2 linked regions of the Oryzias latipes genome follow. The main gene of each other region encodes a partner of the protein of the gene in region 2 in a complex. Links are inferred from orthologs where the notes say so. Each region holds a gene or a part of one and is shown on either strand. Other genes may lie near its edges.

The links.
Region 1: eif3j (region 2) and eif3k share a complex: the UniProt entries of both Homo sapiens proteins name them as parts of the eukaryotic translation initiation factor 3 (eIF-3) complex. The link is inferred for Oryzias latipes from reciprocal best matches to the Homo sapiens genes EIF3J and EIF3K.

Annotation. Positions count from the first base shown.
Region 1 is NC_019871.2:2,893,550-2,905,662, forward strand, and holds eif3k (eukaryotic translation initiation factor 3 subunit K), read right to left. Parts: upstream 6,119-12,113; 5' UTR 6,002-6,118; coding exon 5,940-6,001; intron 5,084-5,939; coding exon 4,985-5,083; intron 4,905-4,984; coding exon 4,784-4,904; intron 4,167-4,783; coding exon 4,089-4,166; intron 3,998-4,088; coding exon 3,931-3,997; intron 3,850-3,930; coding exon 3,772-3,849; intron 3,686-3,771; coding exon 3,560-3,685; intron 3,445-3,559; coding exon 3,413-3,444; 3' UTR 3,394-3,412; exon of another isoform or gene 3,374-3,393; intron 3,288-3,373; 3' UTR 3,002-3,287; downstream 1-3,001. Other genes in the region: calpain-3, read right to left, coding at 809-1,066; uncharacterized protein LOC111948454, read right to left, coding at 8,546-9,615, 9,720-9,783, 9,876-10,953, 11,101-11,726. UniProt on the Homo sapiens protein: Component of the eukaryotic translation initiation factor 3 (eIF-3) complex, which is required for several steps in the initiation of protein synthesis.
Region 2 is NC_019861.2:18,394,904-18,407,025, reverse strand, and holds eif3j (eukaryotic translation initiation factor 3 subunit J), read left to right. Parts: upstream 1-4,657; 5' UTR 4,658-4,705; coding exon 4,706-4,772; intron 4,773-4,909; coding exon 4,910-5,010; intron 5,011-6,425; coding exon 6,426-6,489; intron 6,490-6,563; coding exon 6,564-6,655; intron 6,656-6,735; coding exon 6,736-6,835; intron 6,836-7,020; coding exon 7,021-7,179; intron 7,180-7,287; coding exon 7,288-7,361; intron 7,362-7,484; coding exon 7,485-7,613; 3' UTR 7,614-8,628; downstream 8,629-12,122. Other genes in the region: stereocilin, read left to right, coding at 89-264, 386-541, 1,449-1,591, 1,670-1,818, 1,990-2,087, 2,248-2,398, 3,282-3,376. UniProt on the Homo sapiens protein: Component of the eukaryotic translation initiation factor 3 (eIF-3) complex, which is required for several steps in the initiation of protein synthesis.

The sequences.
Region 1 (12,113 bases), on a different chromosome or scaffold from region 2:
TGAACGTCTGATCAGAATAGAAATGCGTCATGCAAACACGCCATTCCGAATACTCTGCCCCCATCAGACTCATTCGGATCAAAATTTCCTTCTTTGGGACGGTGTGTGAGCTAACGGAGGTGGCCTCTGAATGCAGAAATGACAAAAAGTCCCTAATTCACATGAATTTGTGTTCAGACAGAGATAATTATTGCAAATCTTAGGTGAAAAAGAACCATCTCAACACAGGATAGAAGCTCCTTCAGAATGCTTTAAATATATTTATTTGTCACTATGTATCTGAAATGCATTAGACTCTATGCACATTTACGGTTCAATATTTGCATTTTGAGTGATTTAAGCACAATTACGTTATTTAAAAACGGTGAGCAATACCAGAGAGGTACAGCTGTTTAGTTTTGAGCCACATATCGGCTCGGACGAAAACGAACATCTGGTCGTCTGCAAGTGGATGCGTCAGAAAGGGGGCGGAGCAAGGAGCTCGTCCCAGCAGAACGTGTTTCCTACGTCACAACTACAAGTTTTTTAAAGCTGATTTCTTTTCCATCTGCTCCTGATTATACAACAATTTGAATAAATAATTACTCGGAAATGCAGTCCTGGGCTTAATTTTTCTTCTTATTCGTCATCAGAAAAACATGGGTCTTTGCGTGGAGAGTCTGTCACGACAAACCCCCAAAGCCAAAGTGGATCCTAAACCTCCGAACCAAAATGATGATTTCTGCACAGAAATAGCAGGAAGGTGTTTCTAAATGTGTATTAGAGTGAGTTTACCGCATTCTCCTCTCTGCTTCTTTGCCCTCCTCACCTTCGGTCGCTTCCACTTCAGTCCCGCCTGCATCTCCAGCTCCCCCACGGGGAACTGGTAGTCCACGAACAGCCCGTCACGGCCCAAGGTCACCCCGTCCGCGGCCGGCGCCGCCAGGTCCCCGCTGAGCAGGTCCGCCAGCCAGCGGCGGGACTGGGACCCCAGCAGCTCGTTCCCGTCCTCCTCCTCCATGGGGGTCACGTCCTCGTCCAGCGGCGGGAGGGAGCTCCCCGACGACGAAGTCCTGGACCTCCTCATGTCTACCTGCCCGACCTCGCGCAGAGACCTCTTTATGAAGGGGCTGAGGCCACGCCCCCCTAACAAACAGGTAAAGGAGATGAGCCACGCCCCCCACAGGTAAAGGAGTTGAAGTCACGCCCCCACACACACAGGTAAAGGAGCTGAAGCCACGCCCCCATAGGTAAAGAAGCTGAAGCCCCCCCCCACACACACACACAGAAGGAGCTGAGCCCCCCACACATACAGGTAAAGGAGCTGAAGCCACGCCCCCCACACAGGTGAAGGTGTGGCTTCTCTGTCGGTCATGATTTGCTGTTGATCGATGAGGAGCAGCTTAAAAATGGAAACTTAAGACTTTATTTCTGCATTTATGAATGGATTTCAGATTTTCCTAGAAAACTCTAGAGGCGCTTATGACAGTTTAATTACATTTAAAACCTTAAAAAAAAACTTTCGTTATTGTTACTTTGGGTGAGTGTTCTGTTAATGAAGGTTCTGTTAATGTTCTGTTAATGACGCGCTCTGTTAGTCATTGTTGTTTAATCTACGCAGTTGAATTTTTATTCCATTTTCACATCTGTCATTGTGACGTCATGTTGGAAATATTTTTTTAAATCAGCATTTTGGCTCCATCTGAAGTCACACAATCACATCATCAAATCTTTATTTTAATTGTACTTTTTTTCAAAATAAATCAAAGCACAAAGATTTTAAAAAACACATTTTTAAAATGTTTTTTTTTAATCCTTACTCCCAGAGTTCTCAAAAATGACGTTTTAGGAAACTCCTGACATCACAAGTTCAACACAAAGGGGTCTGAAGGTGGTCTTTTATTTTGAAAATTCAGCTGATATTTTCTCTCTGGGTCTTTTTAGCTTTCATCTCCGAAAATCTTTTCATAATGCTATATGTTCAGATGTTGTAGAATCGACTTTGTATTAAAATGTGGACTCCATGCATCCCTCATGTCCCCGCGGTTGCTGGTTCATCTCCCCCTGACTGTCTGCGGCGGCGCCTCGACTCTCGTCTTCCTGTCTCTGTTCCATGAACGCATCCTCCGTTTCCATTTCCTTTAACGAGCTCCGAGAAGAACCTGCATTGTGTTTTTTTTCTGTTCCAGACAAATGCGATGGCATAAAAAAAAAAAAAAGAAATCCTCTAACTTACTAAAAAAGTCTGAAGGTATTTAAAAATTCTGCAACTTTTTTCCAATTGTTGACATTTTTTCCGGATTTTTCTCCCAGAATGCAGCAGCACCTGACCTGACTTTACATGCAGATAATCTCTGCACGGTCTAACAAAGAAGTTTACTTTAAAAACGTCTTTTTTTTCTACCTAGTTCTATTTTAATCATGAATTATTTCAGTTAGTTCATTAAAAATGGTGAAACTTTAAAGATGCAAAGTTAAAAAAAAAACTGAAATAAATGTTCCTTAATGTGATCAACTGAATAAAATCTTCAGATGCATCTATATTTACCAAAAACAATTTCATTTTGTGACACTCATACAACTTAAATAAAAATGTTGTTTCTCTTTCGGCTTTTTCCCATCAGGGGTCGCCACAGCGAACAAGTCGCATGGTAAATTTGGCAATGTTTTACGCCGGATGCCCTTCCTGACGCAACCTTCTCAAAGCAACCGGGCTTGGGACCGGCACAGAGGTAGAGAAGGGAAACTTCTTAAATAAACAACTTAAGTTTATTCTTATTCAACTTAAGTTTATTCTTAAGTTAAACAACTTAAATAAAAATAGCAGAGTTAATTTAGAGCACAATCTCCTGGAGGAGCTGCTCAGTGGCTCTGTGGTAGAGTGTCTGCCCAGACATTGGGAGGTTGTGGGTTTAAATCCAGCTGGGTCATAAAAATCATCTGGAATTCCTCCGTGCTCCAGGCTGGAATTCGAGGGTTGAACCGTCCCAAATGTAAAGAGCAAATTTCTCACACACACGCGTGACCATTGACAGGCTTTTATTTTGATAAAAACAGGAAAGCCTGAGCAGATCCTCACCTAAATCCCACACCGGTTTTCCATAATTCACTTCATGAAGTCCCACTGCTCTGTTGGAATATGTACAGAGCTCAAACGAAATCATTTGGGATCATTTCCAACACCTTCACGTGAGGGGGCGGGGCTTCTCATCACAGCCACTTCCGGATTCTGATGCCGTCAAGTCAGCAAAAACCCGATCAGGTCAGAGAAGAGGCGACCCCTCGGGATCAAACGGAGGAGTGTGATGCTGTGAAAAACCACCTGGCTGATGACTCAGCACATCAATAAACATGAAACAGCAAAAAGTGCACATTAAAACCAGACAAATCCATCGGTTTTTGGTGATAATTTACTTTTATTAAGCTGTTTTTCTCACTGAGATGTGGCCATGATGCTGGAAACACCTGCAGACAAAACAAACAGCAGGAGAACTTCTTCAGACGGGAGACGAAACACGTGAAACCTGGAAGGTTCTGCTTCGTCTCGGCGGAGATCTCCAGAAATAAAAGCTGGACTTACTCTCAAAGTCGATCTTCTCCACAATGTTCTTGGGCTTGATGCTCTCCTCCTGGTTGTAGATGAAGATCTGCCCGTCCTCGTTCTCCGTCCAGCCGTATTTGTTCATCCACACCTTCACCTGCGTGTCTGCAGCAGGAAGCGGAAGCAGCTTCAACACCTCCGACCGTCGCCAACGGCGGATCAACCGGCGGATCTGGTGGATCGGTTCTTACCCAGCGGGTCTCCCAGCATCTCAGCCAGTAACCGGTGGTCAATGGTCTGGTAGGTGATGCCCACCACATGGCAGATGACTGCAGAGGAGGAGGAAGACGCTCAGAGACGTGTCTCCTTCGGGTCAGAGCCGTCGTCGTCTCCTGTAAGGCGATACTCACACTTGCGAACGGAGTCCTCGAAACCGGCGATGCCGTCAATGAGCTCCCGGTTCTCCTCCAGACTCGTCTGACAGGAGAGAAGAGCCAGAGAAAAGTTTCATTTCTTCACAGACTCCAAAGTCTGGAGATCTGATCCGAGAACACGATCTGCACCGCACCCAAAAGCTCTGGAAGTGGCAGGTCTCCAGCAGGTTCCCCAGGTAGAGGATCTGCCTGATGGGGCGCTCCTCTTGCTGCGACACTGTAGTCAAGGAAACACTCCCCCCCATCCCAGGTCAACCTAAGAATTATTCACTTTTAACCAACCAGCTAGTTATTCTCCAGAAATGAGACCTCGCTGTTAAAAAGCTAAAAGAAAAACCTCAGCTTTTATTCACATTTGAAAAAAAAAAGTGGCCAAAGTTAACAACAGTAACGGGGTTGACTCTGATTGTTATATTGGTACTACAGACCCCCTCCAATGAAAATGGAGTTCCTGGTGTCCACCAGAAGACTCTCCACCACAAAGACCCACTCCAATGTTTCTAACATGTTTTTCTGACGACGAATAATAAGAAAATGAAGCTCAAAACTGCATTTCTGAGTATTTCTTTCTTTAAATCGTCGTGAATCAGGAAAAATGCCGTTTGTTGAAGATCATAAACAGAAACTATGCCAGAAGAAAACAACAGTGTTTTTTTTATTTTGGCTGAAAAAGTTATAATCATAATTAAAAAAACCACTGGGAACGCTTTGAGAATAGATCAGAAGATGATCGGAGTGGGACTTTAAACTGACAGAAACACTAAAAACCTTAGAAGATAACGAAGCAGAAGCTGGTCTGATCTCAGACTGAAGAGCAACAAAAGGATACGTGTGTCTGGTCGATCATGCACTTGCAGAGAGTGAAGTCTGTGTGCGGCAGGTTGGTGAGCGCCTTGAGCAGAATCTGCGCGGTCACCGGAGTCTGGAAGTAAGCTGGGTTGAACTGGTACCTGCGGGTTCAAAGGGGAATCTGTCATCTCACGACGGGAAACCCGAGCGTCGCACCGACCCGAACGCAGCGGCAGCTTACAGCTTCAGCACGGCCAGGTTGGCCTCCAGGTCGTAGGCGTTCTCCCTGGCCTGCGTGTCCACGTACTGCTCCAGTGTGACGAGGTTTTCTGGGTTGTACCTGTGAAGATGCACAGAAGCTGGGAGTTTACAAGCCATAACTGCTGCTACTGTAAGGAACGTTGGTCCTCTGGGATGTTTTTCATGCATTTTTACGAGAAAGTCAGCCCACAGATGTGCAATAAAAAGGGGTTAAATCCCCCAAACAAAGAGACCTTCACAGCATCAAAACAGAAATCAAACTTAGTTTAAGGCCCAGCGGGTTCTACATTTTTGATTCACCAGTTCATTATTTTTTTAATAGTTTAGTGGTAGAAAACCGTTTCAAAATAAAACTAAAAAAATTAACTTTTTATGATTTAAAAGCTGTATTACATTAAAAAATATTAATGCTATTGATTTTTTTATTATTATGGTGGAATTAAATTGCATTATTATATTTCAAATCAGACCTTTAGTTTATCTGTACGGACATTATTTAAAAGACAACTCACATCTGTCTAAGTTGATCAGTCATCACAAAGCAACAACATACAGATCGATATGATCATCTTAATGCATCCATAGCATAATTAATTTACCTAAATGAATCTGTTTCTGCACTTAATACTTTCTGATGTTCAGTTTCTTTATGATTATTAAGAGTAACTTTACCTCTAAATTAGGGTCTATTAATAATTAACTTAAGTATTTGGTTCCGGTCAAGATCCTGAAAGTAAAGCCAATCTATTATGGCATTTACATTTAAAAAATAAATGTAAAACATTTTTTTACGCAAATGACATTGATAAAACAACTTCAATTTAAAGAAATTAATTGAAAGTTTTTAATTTCGACGAGTCTCTCAAACGTTAGCAAACAAGAAGCTAAGCTAGCCCTCGCGCCCGTTTTCCTCTTCTCTCTCGTTGGATTCATACCTGTCGATCCCCCGTAAGAGTCTCCCTACTGTCGCCCTCATCTGCTCGAACGACGAAGCCATCTCTCCAGATGTTTAACAAAATACTTTCAGGTAAAAAACAGATGTATCTTTGCACGTGCACCGCTAAAAGAGAAAAAGACCCAAGCCGGAAGGGAAAAGAGGTCGGACCGGAAGCATGAACTGAGTAAATGCGAGAGAACCGGGTTTACCAAAATAAAAGTCCGTACACAAGTTTGACTTTTTTTCTGGTCTGATTTTCTACTTGAGGGAGACAAATCAAAAGTTTCTTTTAAATTGATGGCATTACTTCCAACCCTTAAACAAATCATAAAAAAGATTTGTATTTCATTACTGCCACTTTGAAACTACCAGTGTATTCAATTTTGAGAATCTAAAAAGTTTTGTGCATTTTATGGATTCTGTAAGGTTGTTATTTGCTGCATTTTGGAAAAGGAAACCTTTTTTTATAAAATATATTTTTTGACTGACTTCCCCACTCTTTGAAACAATACACATTTAGGTCCATTATAGATATGGTGCTTCTCAATAAGCAGCAACTCACACTACTGTGCAGATGGAGCCAAGACAGACCTTCAGGTTCCAAAAAATTGAGTTTCTTTGGCCTTGATGACCTTGTCTTTTGCAGAGAACATTTAGTCTGGCCTCAAAGGCCTTTCAGAGAGGAGATGAGTAATGCATAAAAAATAAAATAAAAGTTCCACCCTCTTGGCTTTGCTGTTGAAGCGTTGTGACTGTAAACACTGCTCTGAAAATAGACCTTTGTGAGATGTCAGCCACTTCATCTGTGTATTCATTTTGTGTTGTTTTAATCTCTACATTTCTAGAAAACAAAGAAGAAAAACTGAAAAACTTGTCATTCAACCTTTCAGTTTAGTTACATGAAAAGGTTTTTTTTTTCTCTCAGACATAATTTTGTTTTCTAAAACTGTCTTTTAGTGTTTTTGGTTACATTTAGAAGGGAAAAAATATAAATCTAACTTTTAAAAATTGTGTTAAGAATAAGACGCAACATGTTGGCCACATCAAAATAAAGAGAAGTCTGAAAAGATGCAAAACTATCAAACACCTTCTTTCAGTAATATTTCCTTCTTTTCTTTTTAAATCCTTCTACAACGAAAGCTTTTTTCTCAAAACGGAAGAAATTAAGTTAAACTAAAAAATTTGAAACGTCCGAACGGGGTCTTGAACCAGCGACCTCATGCACCAACACTTCCCTGTGTATTTCAATGGAGATAAATCCTTGAAAATCCTGGAATATCTTGAAAAGTTGAAGGATTTGAAAAACCAAAAGCCATAGCAGGAATAAGCTGAAAGAGCTGAACATTTTAATAGTTGAATGGTTAAAAATAGTTGAAAATTGTAGAAGGGGTTAACTGCCGAAAAACGGCGGAAGATGAGCGCAATAAATAAAGAGAAACAGGAAAACAAAACAATAAAACTAAAAGAATGAAAAGAGAGCCAAAAAATTTAAATAGTCACAAAAAAAAACTGTCATTCAACCACCTTGTTTTGGCTTTCAGTTACAGCATACCTTTAAAATAAAATGAAATAAACCAAAATTCCATCTATCCATCTGTGCATTTGCGTTTTGAGGGCACGTTGGACTCGCCATGAACTCGAAAACGTCTCAATAAAAACTGTTTGTGGTGAGTGTTATCATTGAAGGTTTACTTCTATTTGATGAATTTAATTAAACTCATTCCGCTTTTTCTCCGTCGACCCAGAAATGTGTCATGGTATGTGATTTGAATGGTACAATAAATGCAGGTGTTCATGCACAATAAACTATTGCATTGGTGGTTCAGTGGTAGAATTCTCGCCTGCCACGCGAAGGCCAGCCGTATATACCTGTAACACGGAACAGCCAATCAAATTGCAGCTACTGCAGCATAGTCAGCCAATCAAACTGTGGCTTGTGTAGCGCTGTCCAAGCTGATGAAATCCTTTGGTCCCGAGTTCGAACCCCGGTTAGAGTGATGTCAGTCAGAAGTTGTGGTATAATAAATGTTTTTGTTAAACTGAATATGACATTTCATAATTATTGTTTTCTACTTCTGTCTCTCCTTGTTCCAAATAACAGTCATGATCTGTTGCTCATTTCAATTTCAACTATGTTTTATTAAGAAATCAACATGAAAATAAATAAAACACAGTATTTAACACAAAATGTACCAAAATGTTCAACCATGGATTTACAATTGAAGGGCAGAAGGGTTTAAACAGGCAAAACTTTAATACAAGTATTTTAAAGGTGTAAAATGAATTGAGGAAGTAGTAAATATGTTTGCTTTTTCTATCAAAACTAAACACTAATAATAAATATGTAAGAAAATTGTATTCACAAAATAGATTTCACAAACTAAATTACAAATATTTTCACATTGATAGATAACACCACGAGTTCTATCATAATCAGTGTGTTATCAGAAGAGAACTTAATACAGGCAAACATATAGACAGGTTTAGCAGAGATTTTGACGTTTTACACTTATTTCTCATCCAATATGACAAGCTGAGGTAAAATGAGACAAAAGTGGTCAAAACAGCAACATCTTTTGATAACAAATAGAACAGACATAAAAGCTATCTCTTTCCCTCTTCTGCTTGCCGGCCAGCAGCCCACCTCATCTTTTCAGCCTCATAAAAAGGAGACTGAGAGAACTCCTCCCAGGTCATTTCTTGAGTCATCCCATTTGCCCGGTGGAGGGACAAGACTCTGGCAGGACAGTAAACATACTTCCCCACAACACCAGGGAACCCGGTGTGTATGTGTGGACTCTCTGGACCTTGTTTCAGTGGTTTGTGGCAGAACCTGCACAGACGCCCACTGGGATGCTGCTCCCTTGCCTTTCTTTTCTGTCGGTCCTCCAAAACCTTTCTGCATTGTGCAGACCTCTGCTTTGCAGCCTTTAACTCTCTCTCAAAAAATGGCGTGGCAGCAAAGTCTGCAAATGGCATCCTGGGGTTTGTAAGGCCTTCTGCTGCATAGATCTGGAGTACTTTTTTGGAGCAGTAGAAGTATCTCACATCCCCAGACTGATAAAAGAAATGAACAGAAGATCCATCACCAAGGTAACGAGACTTTGGCTGCCCACAAGCAAGACAGTTCCTTGTCATTTTTTTTTCAGGTTTCTGCTGTTGTTGCTGCAGACCTACAATCTCCTTCACCATTTTTTCAACGTCAGTCTTCGTTAAAGGAGCTTCATCTGGTTTAGAGCTGGGGGGGTTCACTGGAGCAGGAGGGAGAGTCACAACTGGCACAGTGACAGTTTCACTGCCTTCAGTGAGTTTATGCCACAGCTGCTGGGTTTCCAAAAGTTTTTCGGGACTAGTGTTCATAGACGAACTTCTGTTAATCATCTTCGCCATGTGCTTCACGTAGCGGGAGATGTGCTGTTTAGTGGTGGGGTGGAGGAGGCTGTTGGGATTCCTGGAGGCAGTTTGAACAAGGGCGGCATACTCTGCGTCTACCTTGCTCAGAAAGTCCTTTTGTCCATGGTGCTTTGCCAGAAGGACATCAATGGCATCTCTCATTGGATTTGTCCAACGAGAATGGTCCAGGACAAAAAGCAGACCCCCTGCTTTGATAGGACCAGTGCGAGCTGCGCGTGGAGAGGCAGCAAAAGGCAGTGGTGGTGGTGTCGTTGAGACATCTGATGGAGAGGAAAAAAGAGAAAAGTTAACCCTTCTCACTTCTCTTTCCTTGAATGCAATGCACAAATAAATTAAAAAAGGCTGAAAATTTGAACTAAATTACCTTTCACTTCAGGGGCTTGGGTCATTGCTAGTGAGTCATCAGCAACCACACCTAAGACATTATCCTGAAACATTGGACCATTCAGTTAGTTTAAACTTGTTATGTAGCTGCAGTTTTATTGTAATAGAGTGAGGATGTTTGTTACAACAAACTTACATGAGCAGAGTGTTCTTCTCCATGTTCTTCAGGCAGGTCGATGACTGTTTCATTGGAAGGAGGTGGTTCTGGAGACAAACACTCTTCTTCCTCAACAACCGGGTCTCTCTGAGACTTGTGTTTGTCCCAGTGAAGAGGAACCGGACGGCAGCCAGGCTCCACATACTGCAGTCCAAACCTTTCCCCAGTGTCGGCCTGTGACAAGACTAAGGCAGGGTACTTAGCTTGTCCTGTCACTTCCTTTGACAGTTTGTTCAGCTGTACAATCAGAGCTGGATTAAAAACTGAAGGAAGCTTCAGACCAGGTTGCTTCAGGCTCACAAGGCGCTGGAAGTTCCACCGAGCTACTCCAGTCATGCCTTGGGCCTGGAAAAGTTCTGTCGAGACCTGATTTCCTGTCACCCATTTGGACTGGTGGAAATGAAATCCCTCCTGCTGGGATGTTCCTCGCACCGGGATCCAGATCGGTACCGCTGCCGCTTCCCCCTTGATGTGGTTCAGCTGTAACGTGCCACCGTGTCTGTAGAGGATCCCGTCTCCCACCTCCGGGTCGCTCAGACAGCCCCTGAGGATGTGAACGCGCTGAATCCTCCACACTTTCAGCATTGTTGCCTTAAACAGTGGTATGCCATCTGGATCCGATTCCAAAAAGAACCTCTTCAGAACACTCTCCACCCGCACCAGCAGCTCTCTGGGTTCTGGGATCTTGGTGCGGCAGTGCTCCCTGATGTGCTGCTTTGTGGGGTTAGCTGGCTGGATCCCACAGAAGGTGTAGGCCTCCTTCAGCCTCTGAAGATCGGTTTGGTCCACCACACAAAAAGCTGCCGAAAGGAACTTGCAGAAGGAGCTGTGAAGTGGATGATGCTCTGAGATGCACTCCCTGGTGAACCGCCGCATGCAGTGAAACAAGTCCAGCTTGATGCTTATTTCTCTGTTGTATTTGGTACGGGATGCACATCTATTGGTGAAGTCTCCAGATGTTGCTTCACCCACTATAGCCTCTGTGGTCTTCCAGGAATCCCAGAGAAGATGCTCCTGAGGCTGGGAGTTTGGGATCCTGAATGGAGAGCAGCAATCCCTGTCCATACACGCAGGTAAAGCACCTTTTAATTGTTTATTGTGCAAATAAAGGGATTGTTTTTAAAACAATATTTACTTATGTTTTTCACGTTTTTACTGTTGAAACCATTAAATTAGAAGTAAAATGAACAAAGTTTTGTCTCACCTGTCAACCCACTGGTACTTTGCTTTTGGCAGCGCTGCAGAAATGTAACGCCGGGACAGCCCGTCGTACATTGGCTCCAGAGACTTGTCGCTTTCTGACTGCAGCATCACCCAGGACAAAATCATCCAGTTTTCATTCATAACTGCATAAGATGACATTGTGCCTGATGCCAGGACAACCTTCCGTGCCACCTTTCGGGTGTGGTCAGCCCTCAAGACCTCACCAAAAGTGCCTTGAAGGAGCAGATTGAGCGTGCCCTCCTCCCTATGGTACTCCTGAATGAGGCAGTCCACCAGGTAGTGTGAAGTCACTGTTACCCCACACCAGCCATCTATGTCTGTATACCCACCAAAAGGATCTGGTGTGGATGTTTTCCTCATTGCCCCCGTGATTGTCTGCTGGCCATATAGTCCGCTCTCTCCATCCAGAACATTCTTCACTGTCCCCAGATAAGCCACGTGTGCACGCTCGTATCTTAGGTGAAGAGCTTCATTTAGCTGATTGGCCATATCACCTGGAGACTTTGCTGTACGCCGCAGCTCATCCATCACAGTCTTGCATACTGCCTTTTTGTGGGTCAGGAAGGCTGGAAAAATCTCCTGAAAACGACGAGGCAGCATGTCCATCCATGAAGGTTTGTCTGCAAACCAGTGCTTCTTGCAGACTTTACAGGTCAGCCGAGAAGCAAGTATGTAGTACTGACCACTTGTGCCAATTATGACACGGGGCCGACCTGTTCCAGAGGAGACCACGAGGGGTTTTGGGCAGCCATGCAGACACGGGAGGGGGTAGTTGTTACGCACTCTTTCCATTATTGCATGGTCTGGTTTCCAGATAAAAAAAGGATGGAGGTGAAAGTACTTTGGGGATGGTAGCTCATAAATTGAGTCAATGAGTTCCGGCTGAGGTGGGTTACGCCACAAGGAGATCATATTCATGGCATGTCTTACAGGTGGAGACCCAGGCCACAGTCCTAAGGCTTCCATCTCTGTTTTCATCCAGATCCTCTGCTG
Region 2 (12,122 bases):
AACTGGTCAGACTGCATGCAGATTAAAAAGTATTTGTTGCTCTTTTCTTGAGTTATTAATTTTTGTGTGTGAATGCCTCCTCTGACAGCAACACCCTTGGTTCCCACCTGTGAGATGCTGCACACAACAGCGCCCTCTGTCTGGACCTCCAGCAGTCTGAGCAGCATGTCATCATCCGCCTTCTCCAACTGTCTGGAGTTGATGGGCGGCGACTCAAATTTGGCATTCTTCCAACGTGGCGAGGTGCTCAAGAGGGTGAAAAAGGTTAGGTTAATATGTAACAGCCATGCATTCCTCTCAATTGTGTCGCTTCTGATCTGTAAAGGTCCTAATGTTGTTTTGTTTTCTGTTTATTTTCCCCTGGATCACCCTAAAATGGATCAAGATGTATGGCCCAGTGTCATCATTATCCCCGTCTGTGATTGCTCAGTTAGGTGTAATAGCGACAGAGATGACACCGGAAGAACTTAATGCTCTCCAACTGACCGAGAGAGGAAGCATTGCTGCCATGGGAGCTGTCAAATCTTGGAACAGCAGACAGGTAGCTTCTTTGTTCATAGTTGTTAAATTTTGATGATAGTTTCTTGGCTCTTTTTAAATGAGTAATCAATCCTAGTGTAACTTTACACATCAGTTCCAAAGAGCCTTTGACTCAGACTTTAACTGGAACTTCTCCTTTACTTCTTTTACTACTTGTTTTACAACTTTTTTTGTTCTTTATTTACTAATTGAAAACCCTATTTTAATATTACAAAAAAGTGAACTTCCTTCACAAATGAACTTGTAAATGCTAAGTCGCTAAAACATCACAGAAACCTATTTAATAAATATAGAAATTTTAAAATAAAATAAAAAAGCTGTTAAGGTGTTTTGCTGTATGCTAAATTAGATGTTGAAGAATTGAACCAAGCAAAAAAATAACTTAAAATGATAAAAATATTTTGAATCTGCTGATTCAAATTCAGCCTAAAAGGATAAATGCAAAAAGGAAAAAGCCTTATTGACATAAAACTGCCATAATAACAGGTAAATACAAAATTATCCAAAACAAATCTTGTGAATTTTGTGTAACTTTTAAAATTTCATTAAATTGCCAAGAAAAATCTAAATATATATATCTGTTCAAGTAAAAAAATGAGACAGTACTATCACATGTCTTGTAAAAGCTATACTATTCTTTTCCTCGGTGGTTACAAAAACTTTTTTTGTATTTCAAAGGTGAAATAAAACTTCTGTCGTTTTACCAACAAAAACAACGTATCTTGAAAATAAGATCTCACATGTTATGTCTGGTAATAGGGTTTCAGCAGTAGAACATCCAAAAATGCCCATAAGAGAGTAATTTACACTGAAAAAAATTGCTTTTTTTTTTTTACAAAGTTGTCCACTATTCTAGTATTGTTTATATCCCTGCTTTCATCTGAACTCCTCTCTTTTTGTAATCCCAGCTCGCTGCCCTGTTCGCTGCTTTGTTAAACTCCACCAAGCAGAGTCCCAACCAGCTAGACTCCAGCACTCTGGTGGCACTGGGACACATTATATGTGGAGCTAAAACTACAGAGATCAAGTTACTCAATAATGTAGAGTTCAGGTGAGCAGTCAAGATGCTGCAAAAGAATCATCTCCTCTTTAACTTCTACTCCAAACATGTGTATTTGTCCGGCTGCAGCAAGGCAGTGCTCTGTCTGGGTCAGCTGAGTCTCTCCTGCTCAGAGGAGCAGCTGCAGGCTCTTGTTGAGCTGCTCTCCCACAGCCTGGCCTTTGGTCTCATGAGTTCATGGGGGACTGATGTGTTCATGGAGATTGGAGTCCTGGCAGGTACTTTGAAAAAAAACCCCACTGAAAGATCTGAACTGATTACCCTGAATGTATTTCTCATCATTATTTTCAAAGTATATTATTTTAACATTTTTTATGTGCTCACAGCCTTCAGTGAAAATAATTTGACTTCCATGACACCCATTGCAATTTTAACTGTCTATTTCACAGCTGGTCTCCCTGATATTGCTATGTCAGCTTTAGTTCAAGAGCAAATTGAAGGAATCACCCCCAAGGCTATCTCAATGATTTCACCTCAAAAGTTTGCTGTAAGTTGTCATTACGAGAGTATTTTTAAAGATGGTATTGTGTGGAAATTGGTCAATAATCCATAATGAAAAAAATCAAATAATTCGAAAATATACATTCTGATTTCCATCTTTTTAATGAATCTCAACATTAGTGTTCCTTTATTTTGTTTGTCTGAAGGTGGCACTTAACCAGAAGCAGATCAGCATGTTTTCCTATGAGCAGGCGGCAGCAGTGACTCAGCAGCAGATCGCGGTTCTGTCGGATGTGCAGAGGACAGCTCTTGACATGGTGCTGACTCCCTGGGTGAATAAACCTGTAGACTTCAGAGGTAACTATAGAACCAAAGGTCTGTGGATAATTGGACATGGTTATGTAGTATTTCGATAACAAAACTGATTTGAACATTTTATTTCAATTAGTAATTTCCTTATAAATGAAAGGATGTAAAATGTGCACGAGAGAGGACATCACGCACATTGTGTGTTTATTTTTTTACTTGTTTTATCAGTTTTGTCATCACTCAAAAGATTTCTAAATGTAATTTTCTGCATCGTGTTCATATAATTTAAAATTCCAAAGTAAATTTCAAAGAGAGGGGTGTGCATTGTGAATAAAAAAAGCATTAAGCTGGGGGTTAGGGTGTTTTAAAATTTCTTTAGGATTTTAACTAAAAACTAATTATCAATAAAAATGAAATAGATTATAATTTACTTTACTATAGAGTTAAAAAGGACAAGGAATTAAAATGTCATTTTTAGATGGTACTTTGGACTGCAAGCTGCATTTTTCTAAATACGTACATGATCAAATTGCTTATTGAAATGACAGTTGCAAAATGCATTTTCATTGAATTATGGTTCCACAAAACATGACAATTTTAAACGTAACTGATTTCTTTCTATTTAAAAATGTAATAAAAAACTCCAAGATTAAGTTCAAAAAAACATTTTAATTGAATTGTAAAATGTCTTTTCAAATTGCTGCCCATAATCAAATGGAAAAATTAATTGTAAAGTGATAATAAATATCCCTGAGTTATGCATTCACATTTTTTGCCTTTTTAAAAAGCTGTAACACTTGTTAAGGGTTGTTCTTTGGTTAACTTACCTGCAACATGCCTTCTTTTGAAATGACAGTTGAATAAGGTGCCATTTTGCATGGCTATTGTGTTATATTAATAGGTCTGATTTTGTTTTTTCTGTTTCTCACAGGGAGGTCAATGGGCTTGGTGGTTGGCATCAATCCTTCATGTCTCATATTTGGACTACTGATGCAGCTAACTGTCTCATTCTGCCATGATACATAACCTCACTCTTCTAAGCTGCTTCAGGACTGTGATACAAAGCACAATAAAAAATATAAGCAAATAAGCAAGATACAGTTTTTGTGAAGAGGAAATAAGCAACATATCTGGAGTTCTTCATGTCATGTTTCCTGACATTTTAGTGAACGTTGTTGCAAATTCCCTTTTTTTTTCAAATTAGCTAAAAGTACAGCTTTGCTTTTGATATAAAAACACAATTATAACATTTTGCAGCGTTTTCATTTAAACCCCATATAAAACCTACAATAAATAAAAGTTAACATTTATTTTTCTAAAAACATGTATATTGACAAGGAAAAAATGTAAATTTTTTGCAAATGAAAAAATGTATTGACATTTTTTATTTGTCTGTATGTTACTGCAAACTGTCAGGTTATTTTGTGTATATAGTCAATAGTTAAGACTGGAAGTATTAGTGCTTATCAATGACAGTCTATTGTTGCTGTGAGTTTATTATTGTTGTGCTTGCTTAATTTTCTTTAACTTTTAGCTGAAATGTTCAGTTAAACCACTTGGGCTCTGAATGACTGTTACTTTATTAAAAGGAACCAACAATTAAACTTTTATTTCACAATGTATATTTTTACATTTTCTGTCTTTTGTTCTTAGATCTTCTCTCACTGATAACCTCAAATGTTTTGCATACATTTCAGGACTTTCGGAGGTCTAAAAAACAAATCCTGGCAGTCATAAGGCAAGAATCAGGGGACCGCAAACCCAACAGTAATCTATTCATCAGTCTTTTTCAAATATTATAAGTTCCGAATCATATCTAACAGGACAAATGTTCAATATTTATTCAAACCAGGGATACTCTTAGAAAAAACAAATTCATTTATTACTCTGTAATTGTTTAAAATTTTCTTTGAAATAAATCTCTGTTATCTTAGAATTTTTCTTTTGTGTTTAGTAACCTTGAAACATTATGGGCGTCCTGATTCTGTAGATCCAAGAAAAAACATATTTTTGATAGACATTATTTACAAGAACTTGTGAAGAAAAAAGTGGTATAAAAAGTTGGTCCACCTGAAAAGAAAATAGAAAAAAAAAAGATTAATAATTACAAATATTTATACGTTTTTCATTAATTGTTTTTATATTGTTATTTCTGCCATAGTGTTTACGTTTTTGAACATTTATAAGGGGGTTGGCAGTCGTTCCTTATAATTGTGAAAATAATCTAGAAATCATTTTTGTAAGTTTTTCTTTGTTTGTTTTAAATCATCGTGAATAAATTCCTCGCCTGAAATAGCTCTTTTGGCTCGGGGACGTCACATAAACTCGCGGTGACGTCAGGAGCAGCTACTGAGCATGCCCAGCGGCAGCAGCCTTCACGTTTCTCCGAGCCTGTCAAACACAGCCAACATGGCGGACTGGGGTAAGAAACTAAGTTGGGAATGGAATATATTTATACACCGTAGTCTTGTTGTAAACTTCTTTTAAAAGTTGAAAACTATATCACCATAAGATTATAGCGAGTTGTCTTCGCATATTGAATGTTTTTTCTTATTGTAGACGCCGAGACCTTCGAGCCAGAGGAGCCGCTTAAAAAGGCGGCAGTTGTTGTTGCAGTTATGGACAAATGGGAAGGCGAAGACGAAGAGGAAGATGTTAAGGTATGCCTTCATCATGTCATAGTCTTAACGTGTATATTTAAATTCAGGTATATCTGTATTGTTTTTTTAGCGGGTCGTTCACGAGAGTCACGCCGACGTTAGGCTTAAAGCAGATCGCTCTTGATGCCACGCTTCCTCCGTGTCCGTCAAGCCCAACCTTAGAACTGTGTTAGCTGTATGTTAGCTAGCGGATGGCTAACTCGCGTGCTTCCACAGACTGTCCAATGTTGAGCTAACACCAGCCCTCCGTCCGGGTTTCACTAAGTGACAACTGAACGTTGTTTTAGCAAACTATTAACAATAGAAATAATATCTGCTTTGGTTTATAGTTTAGACTTTGAAATATACTTTTCATTTTAGAGGATTTATTGGCATAGATATTTGCTAACAGTTAGCCTGTTTTGGACGCTCAGCTGGGCACGACGATGCTTATTTTAAAAAAGAAATGTCAGAAAAGTCCAACTTTTTTTCTTCTTTTTACCAAAAGTGGTAAAGTGAAAATAGGTGAATAATGGCAGTAACTGTGGGCTCCGGTCTGCTGACGTTAGCTAATAGCTCGCTTACCAACTTAGCCTCAGTCAGAGGAAATCATTCTCTCTGCTGATGATTCAACTCGGCCAAAAGGAGGCCTAGAATTTTCCGACTTTACGATGGCTGAGCAGGAGTTTTGAGCTGTTGCGGCTCAGCTGACACTGCAGCTCAGGTGGCTTATATGAAAATATCGTGTTTCTTCCCAAATAGTTCAGCCGTGGAAAGTCTTAGTGTAGGCCTTCCTGGGATAAATGTATATTTATTTATTTGGTCACATATGCCATGGTGTCAAAGCTTGGGAAAAAATTTACTTTTTTTTTGCTAGTAGTTTGCTATGTAAGCAAGTGTACTGTTTCATAAGTGATAATTGGACATGGATGGTCATTTCTGAATAAAACTGCTCTTTTAGTGAAAATATCTCATAAGTTTAAACTAACGTAACTAATTTATTAATTCATTTATTAAAATAAAGTACACTACCCACTACTAAAGGAACAGTAACCTTGTTTTTGGGGAAACATTAATAGTCAATAAGTACTAGGTGCTGTTGCAATTATTTTATTTAGGTTAATGAGTTTTATTTATTTTTGCTTAATGAATTGTTCTGTCATCTCATTTGAGATCACATGTTGTAAAAGCTTGAGTTAGGCTTCACAAAGTGGGTGAAGACATTTCTGTGGATTTGAGGGATAGGATTTGGCAACATGTTGCAAAAGACAAAGTGGTTAATGTTGCAATAAATGCAATAAAATAAAGCTCAGGAATTTCTGGTATAAACCAAATTAAGATAAACTAATTTAAAAAAGAAGTAAAAATACATTTTTAAATCAACCTTTTTTTTCTGGAAATAACCTAAATATGTTTTCTTTCTTTCTTTTTTTTAGGATAACTGGGATGATGATGAGGAGGAAGATGATGAGAAGAAAAAGGAGGAGGCGAAGAAACCAGGTACTATAATCATTAGGAAAAACTTGCATTTTTATGGGTATGAATGTTGAAATGTTTCAAACTTGTGTTTACAGAGACGAAAGTTTCTGATAAGAAAAGGTTAAGTGAAAAGATCAAAGAGAAGGAAAACCGGTTAAAGAAGAAACAGCAGGAGTTGCAAGAGCAAGTATGTGTTGCTATGGCCTTTTTTTATTTAAACGGTAAAACAATATTCCTATAATGTTATTGTTTTTTTGCTTTCTTTAGGAACAAGAGGAACTAACTCCTGAAGAACAACTTGCAGAAAAGTTAAGAGTGAAAAAACTACAGGAAGAGGCTGACTTGGAGTTAGCAAAAGATGCTTTTGGTAAGAAAGAGTTGGCCTCTTCATTTCTCTCTTTCCAGGAAGTTAAAAAGAAAGGATTTTGCTCTACACTATTTTTACAATTAAAAACATTTGTTGCACCAATGAAAAACTTTTTTTTAATGTAACTTTTTGTTCTTAGAAGACATCTAAAAACGTTTTTTTTTTTTTTCTTTCTCTCACCTCAGGTGTTGGCAGTGTCACCGGCATTGATGCCATGTGTCCATCCTCCAAAGAAGAATTCACAGAATTTGAAAAAGTGCTGAAAGAAAAGATATCCCAGTTTGAAAAGTCTGTGCATTATTCAAGTTTTTTGGAATCGTTGTTTCGGGAACTTTGTATTTCATGTAAGGAAGACCTCAGTTTCATTTATCCTCAACATCACTTCTTAAATGCCATTTTCTTTATAAATCCAAGCCGGCCTAATATGTGCATCTTTTTTCTTTTTCATGCAGTGGAAGTAGAGGACTTAAAGAAAGTCAGTAATTCCCTTTCGGTTCTACTTAGTGAAAAACAGAAACAAGAAAAAGTAAGTTCTTGATCATCTAAAAGTGACTACTTGTACAAAAGGGGGCGCTGTTGACACATGGCATTGTTGAGAAGTTTGTCTTCTCAATTTCAGCTTAATTTTTATCTGTTTTTGCTTTCACAGCAAAACAAGGGAAAGAAGAAGAAGAAAGGTGTTATAGCTGGAGGCGGTTTGAAAGCACAGCTGAGAGATGACCTTGACTATGCAGAGTTTGATGGTGGTTACGCCCAAGACTATGAGGACTTCATGTGACGATGGCTCCGTCACTGCTGTCTTCTCTCTCCCATCTTCAGAACTACAGCTGTACCTTCTCATGCTGTCCAGTGCCATCCTGGAAAATCTGAACTGTGTGTTGCCCCCTTCAATTTTGCTTCAGTGACCTGAGGGACCAAGGCAGGGAGCATCCAGTCTGGCCCCTTCACATTCTTACTTAAGGAACTGCCTTTTGTCTCATTCAGCCACAATTGACACACAAAACATGGAGTGTGCTGTGTGACCCAGCTTCAGAAGAAAATACATGGAAAGCACTGTTTGAATTTTGCAGAGCTGTTTTCTTATTAAAACATTGCTCCCGTCTAAAAAAAAAAAAGTGCAAATACAGTATCACAATTGAGTGTAATGACATAGAAACAAGATTCTATGCAAATCTTTAACCAGAATGTCATGGGCATATTACAGCCACTCTTTTCTGTGGATGGGCTTTCACAGGAAAGTATATAGTCTATACTTTGGTTGCCAAAAGCAGAGCAATTATTTAGTATGTTATTCATTCTTCTTTCTGGAAATGTTGGATTGTGGGTAATTTGAGACAGGCGCAATTAGTAATTTTAAAGAGCAAATAAGGTTGATTGTAAGATAAAAAGGGATAGAGTATAACAATGTGACTTTAAGACTGCTCAGCCATTCTCTTGATACATCTCTGGAATAAAGAAATATAAGTATTTTTCATGCATGTCAAATGCAATTTACTAATTTGATTTCTATTAATGCAGAAGAGGTATAGATCAGGCAAGTGAATGAACTTGTTCATGGTCTGTTAGTTGCTTCTGTGGGCTTGTATCAAGTGAGGTGAGGGATGCAGCTTCTGGGCTTCACTTCCCCAAAGACTGCAAATGGGGTACATCTAGTTTTAAGGGGCATACTTCTATTCTTTTCTAGCAGTTGACCAGTTTGAAATGTTACATAGAGAATTGGATACATGCAATGTTAAAGATAAAAGTATCTGTTTTTAAGCATCTAATTTAATAAATTACTGGTCAAAAGTAAAGTTGTTTTTTGGTTGTTAATTTTAGTGTTATTAAATCTACACGACTCCTGACTGCAATGACTTATTAGATTAAAAGGATGTACCAGATGGGAATTAATACACATTTGTAAATGAATTATTTCAATTGTTCTTTTGATGAGATCAGGATGGCTTTAATGTTTGTGTACCCAAACAGCTTTTATGTCAAAAGAACATTGAGGTTTCAGTGAAGTGAAGTACATTTCTAGGTAAAAAGAGGCAGATTTGGGGCTCTTCCCACGGGCCCCGGTCGGGCACAGCCCGAAGGAGCGACGTGGGACCGCTCTCCCATGGGCCCACCACCCGTGGGAGACCTCAAAAGGGGCCGGTGCAGTGTGGTTTGGGTGGCAGTCGAGGGCGGGTGCCTCGGCGGCCCAAACCCCGATCATGGAACCTGGCTTTTGGGACATGGAATGTCACCTCTCTGGGAGGGAAGGAGCCTGAGCTGGTGCGAGAGGTTGAGAGATACCGTCTAGATATAGTCGGGCTCACCTCCACACATAGCCTGGGCTCTGAAACTCATTCCTTATAGAGGGGTTGGACTCTCTACCACTCTGGAGTTGCCCAAGGTGAGAGGCGGCGGGCTGGCGTAGGCTTACTCGTGAGCCCCCAGCTCAGCCGCCAAGTGTTGGAGTTCACCCCGGTGGACGAGAGGGTCATGTCCCTCCGCCTCCGGGTGGGGGACAGGTCTCTAACTGTTGTTTCGGCTTACGGGCCGAACAGCAGTTCGGAGTACCAGGCCTTCTTGGTGTCTCTCGAAGGGGTACTGGAAAGTGCCCCAACGGGGGACTCCATTGTCTTCCTGTGGGACTTCAATGCCCACGTGGGCAATGACAGTGGCACCTGGAGGGGTGTGATTGGTAGGAACGCCCCCCCTGATCTGAACCCGAGTGGTGTTTTGTTATTGGACTTCTGTGCTCGTCATAGTTTGTCCATAACGAACACCATGTTCGAGCACAAGGGTGTCCATCAGTACACCTGGCATCAGGACGCCCTAGGCAGGAGGTCAATGATCGACTTTGTAGTTGTTTCAGGTGACCTTCGGCCCTGTGTCTTGGACACTCGGGTGAAGAGAGGGGCGGAGCTGTCCACCGATCACTACCTGGTGGTGAGTTGGATTCGCTGGCGGGTAAAGAGGCCGGAAAGACTTGGAAGACCCAAACGTACTGTGAGGGTCTGCTGGGAACGTCTGGCTGAGCCCTCCGTCAGGGAAGTCTTTAACTCCCACATCCGGGAGAACTTCAAACAGGTACCGGGGGAGGTTGGGGACATTGAGTCCGAGTGGACCATGTTTTCCACCTCCATTGTCTCTGCTGCTGCTCGGAGTTGTGGTCGCAAGGTCTCTGGTGCCTGTCGCGGCGGTAACCCCAGAACCCGGTGGTGGACACCGGAAGTAAGGGATGCCGTCAAGCTGAAGAAGGAGTCCTACCAGGCCTGGCTGGCCTGCGGGACTCCAGAGGCAGCTGACAGGTACCGGCAGTCTAAGCGAGCTGCGGCCCAGACTGTTGCAGAGGCGAAAACTCTGTCCTGGGAGGAGTTCGGTGAGGCCATGGAGAAGGACTATCGGTTGGCCTCGAAGAAATTCTGGCAAACCATCCGGCGACTCAGGAGGGGAAAGCAGTTCTCCACAGGCACCGTTTTCAGTGCAGGTGGGGAGCTGTTGACTTCGACTGGGGACATTGTCGGGCGGTGGAAGGAGTACTTCGAGGATCTCCTCAATCCCACTGACACGCCTTCTATTGAAGAAGTGGAGAGTGAGGATTTTGGGGTGGGGCTGTCCATTACCCGGGCTGAAGTCACTGAGGTAGTCAACGAGCTCCTCGGTGGCAGGGCCCCGGGGGTGGATGAAGTCCGCCCTGAGCACCTCAAGTCTCTGGATGCTGTGGGAGTGCCTTGGCTGACACGTCTCTGCAGCATCGCGTGGCGGTCGGGAACCGTACCACTGGACTGGCAGACAGGGGTGGTGGTTCCCCTCTTTAAGAAGGGGGACCGGAGGGTGTGTTCCAACCATAGGGGAATTACACTCCTCAGCCTCCCTGGGAAAGTCTATGCCAGGGTACTGGAGAGGAGAGTCCGTCCGATAGTCGAACCTCGGATTCAGGAACAACAGTGCGGTTTCCGTCCTGGTCGTGGAACAGTGGACCAGCTCTACACCCTATCTAGGGTGCTGGAGGGTTTGTGGGAGTTCGCTCATCCAGTCCATATGTGTTTTGTGGATTTGGAGAAGGCGTTCGACCGCGTCCCCCGTGGCATCCTGTGGGGGGTGCTCTGGGAGTATGGGGTCCGGGGAGCCTTACTGAGGGCTGTCCGGTCTCTGTATGACCGGAGTAGGAGCTTGGTCCGCATAGCCGGCAGTAAGTCAGACCTGTTCCCGGTCCACGTTGGACTCCGGCAGGGCTGCCCTCTATCACCGGTTCTGTTCATAGTTTTTATGGACAGAATTTCTAGGCGCAGCCAGGGGCCGGAGGGGATCTGGTTTGGGGACCACAGGATTTCCTCTCTGCTTTTTGCAGATGATGTTGTCCTGTTGGCTTCATCGAACCGGGACCTCCAGCGTGCATTGGGGCGGTTTGCGGCCGAGTGTGAAGCGGCTGGGATGAGGGTCAGCACCGCTAAATCTGAGGCCATGGTCCTTGACCGGAGAAAGGTAGTTTGCCATCTCTCGGTCGGTGGAGTGTCCCTGCCCCAGGTGGAGGAGTTTAAATACCTTGGGGTCTTGTTCACGAGTGAGGGAAGATCGGAGCGTGAGATTGACAGGCGGATCGGAGCAGCGTCCGTAGTTATGCGGTCGCTCTATCGGTCCGTCGTGGTGAAGAGAGAGCTGAGCCGAAAAGCAAAGCTCTCAATTTACCGGTCGATCTACGTTCCAGTACTCACCTATGGTCATGAGCTATGGGTCATGACCGAAAGAACAAGGTCCCGAATACAAGCGGCTGAAATGAGCTTCCTCCGCAGGGTGGCTGGGCGCTCCCTTAGAGATAGGGTGAGAAGCTTGGTCACCCGCGGAGAGCTCGGAGTAGAACCGCTTCTCCTCCACATCGAAAGGAGCCAGTTGAGGTGGCTCGGGCATCTAGTTCGGATGCCTCCTGGACGCCTCCCTGGAGAGGTGTTCCGGGCATGTCCCACTGGGCGGAGGCCCCGGGGAAGACCCAGGACACGCTGGAGAGACTACGTCTCTCGGCTGGCCTGGGAACGTCTCGGGGTCCCCCCAGAGGAGCTGGAGGAAGTGGCTGGGGTGAGGGAAGTCTGGGCATCTCTGCTCAGTCTGCTGCCCCCGCGACCCGGTCCCGGATAAGCGGAGGAAGATGGATGGATGGATGGAAGAGGCAGATTTGATGACATGGACTTATAGTGACACTGGGCCACTTTTAAACCCATTAGTGCTTGTTTTTTTTGACAAAACTAAAATCAGATAAAAGAAGGGTTGCAGTGCAGCTTTGCTCAGACATAAAAATGACTTAGGCAAGCCGCTTCTC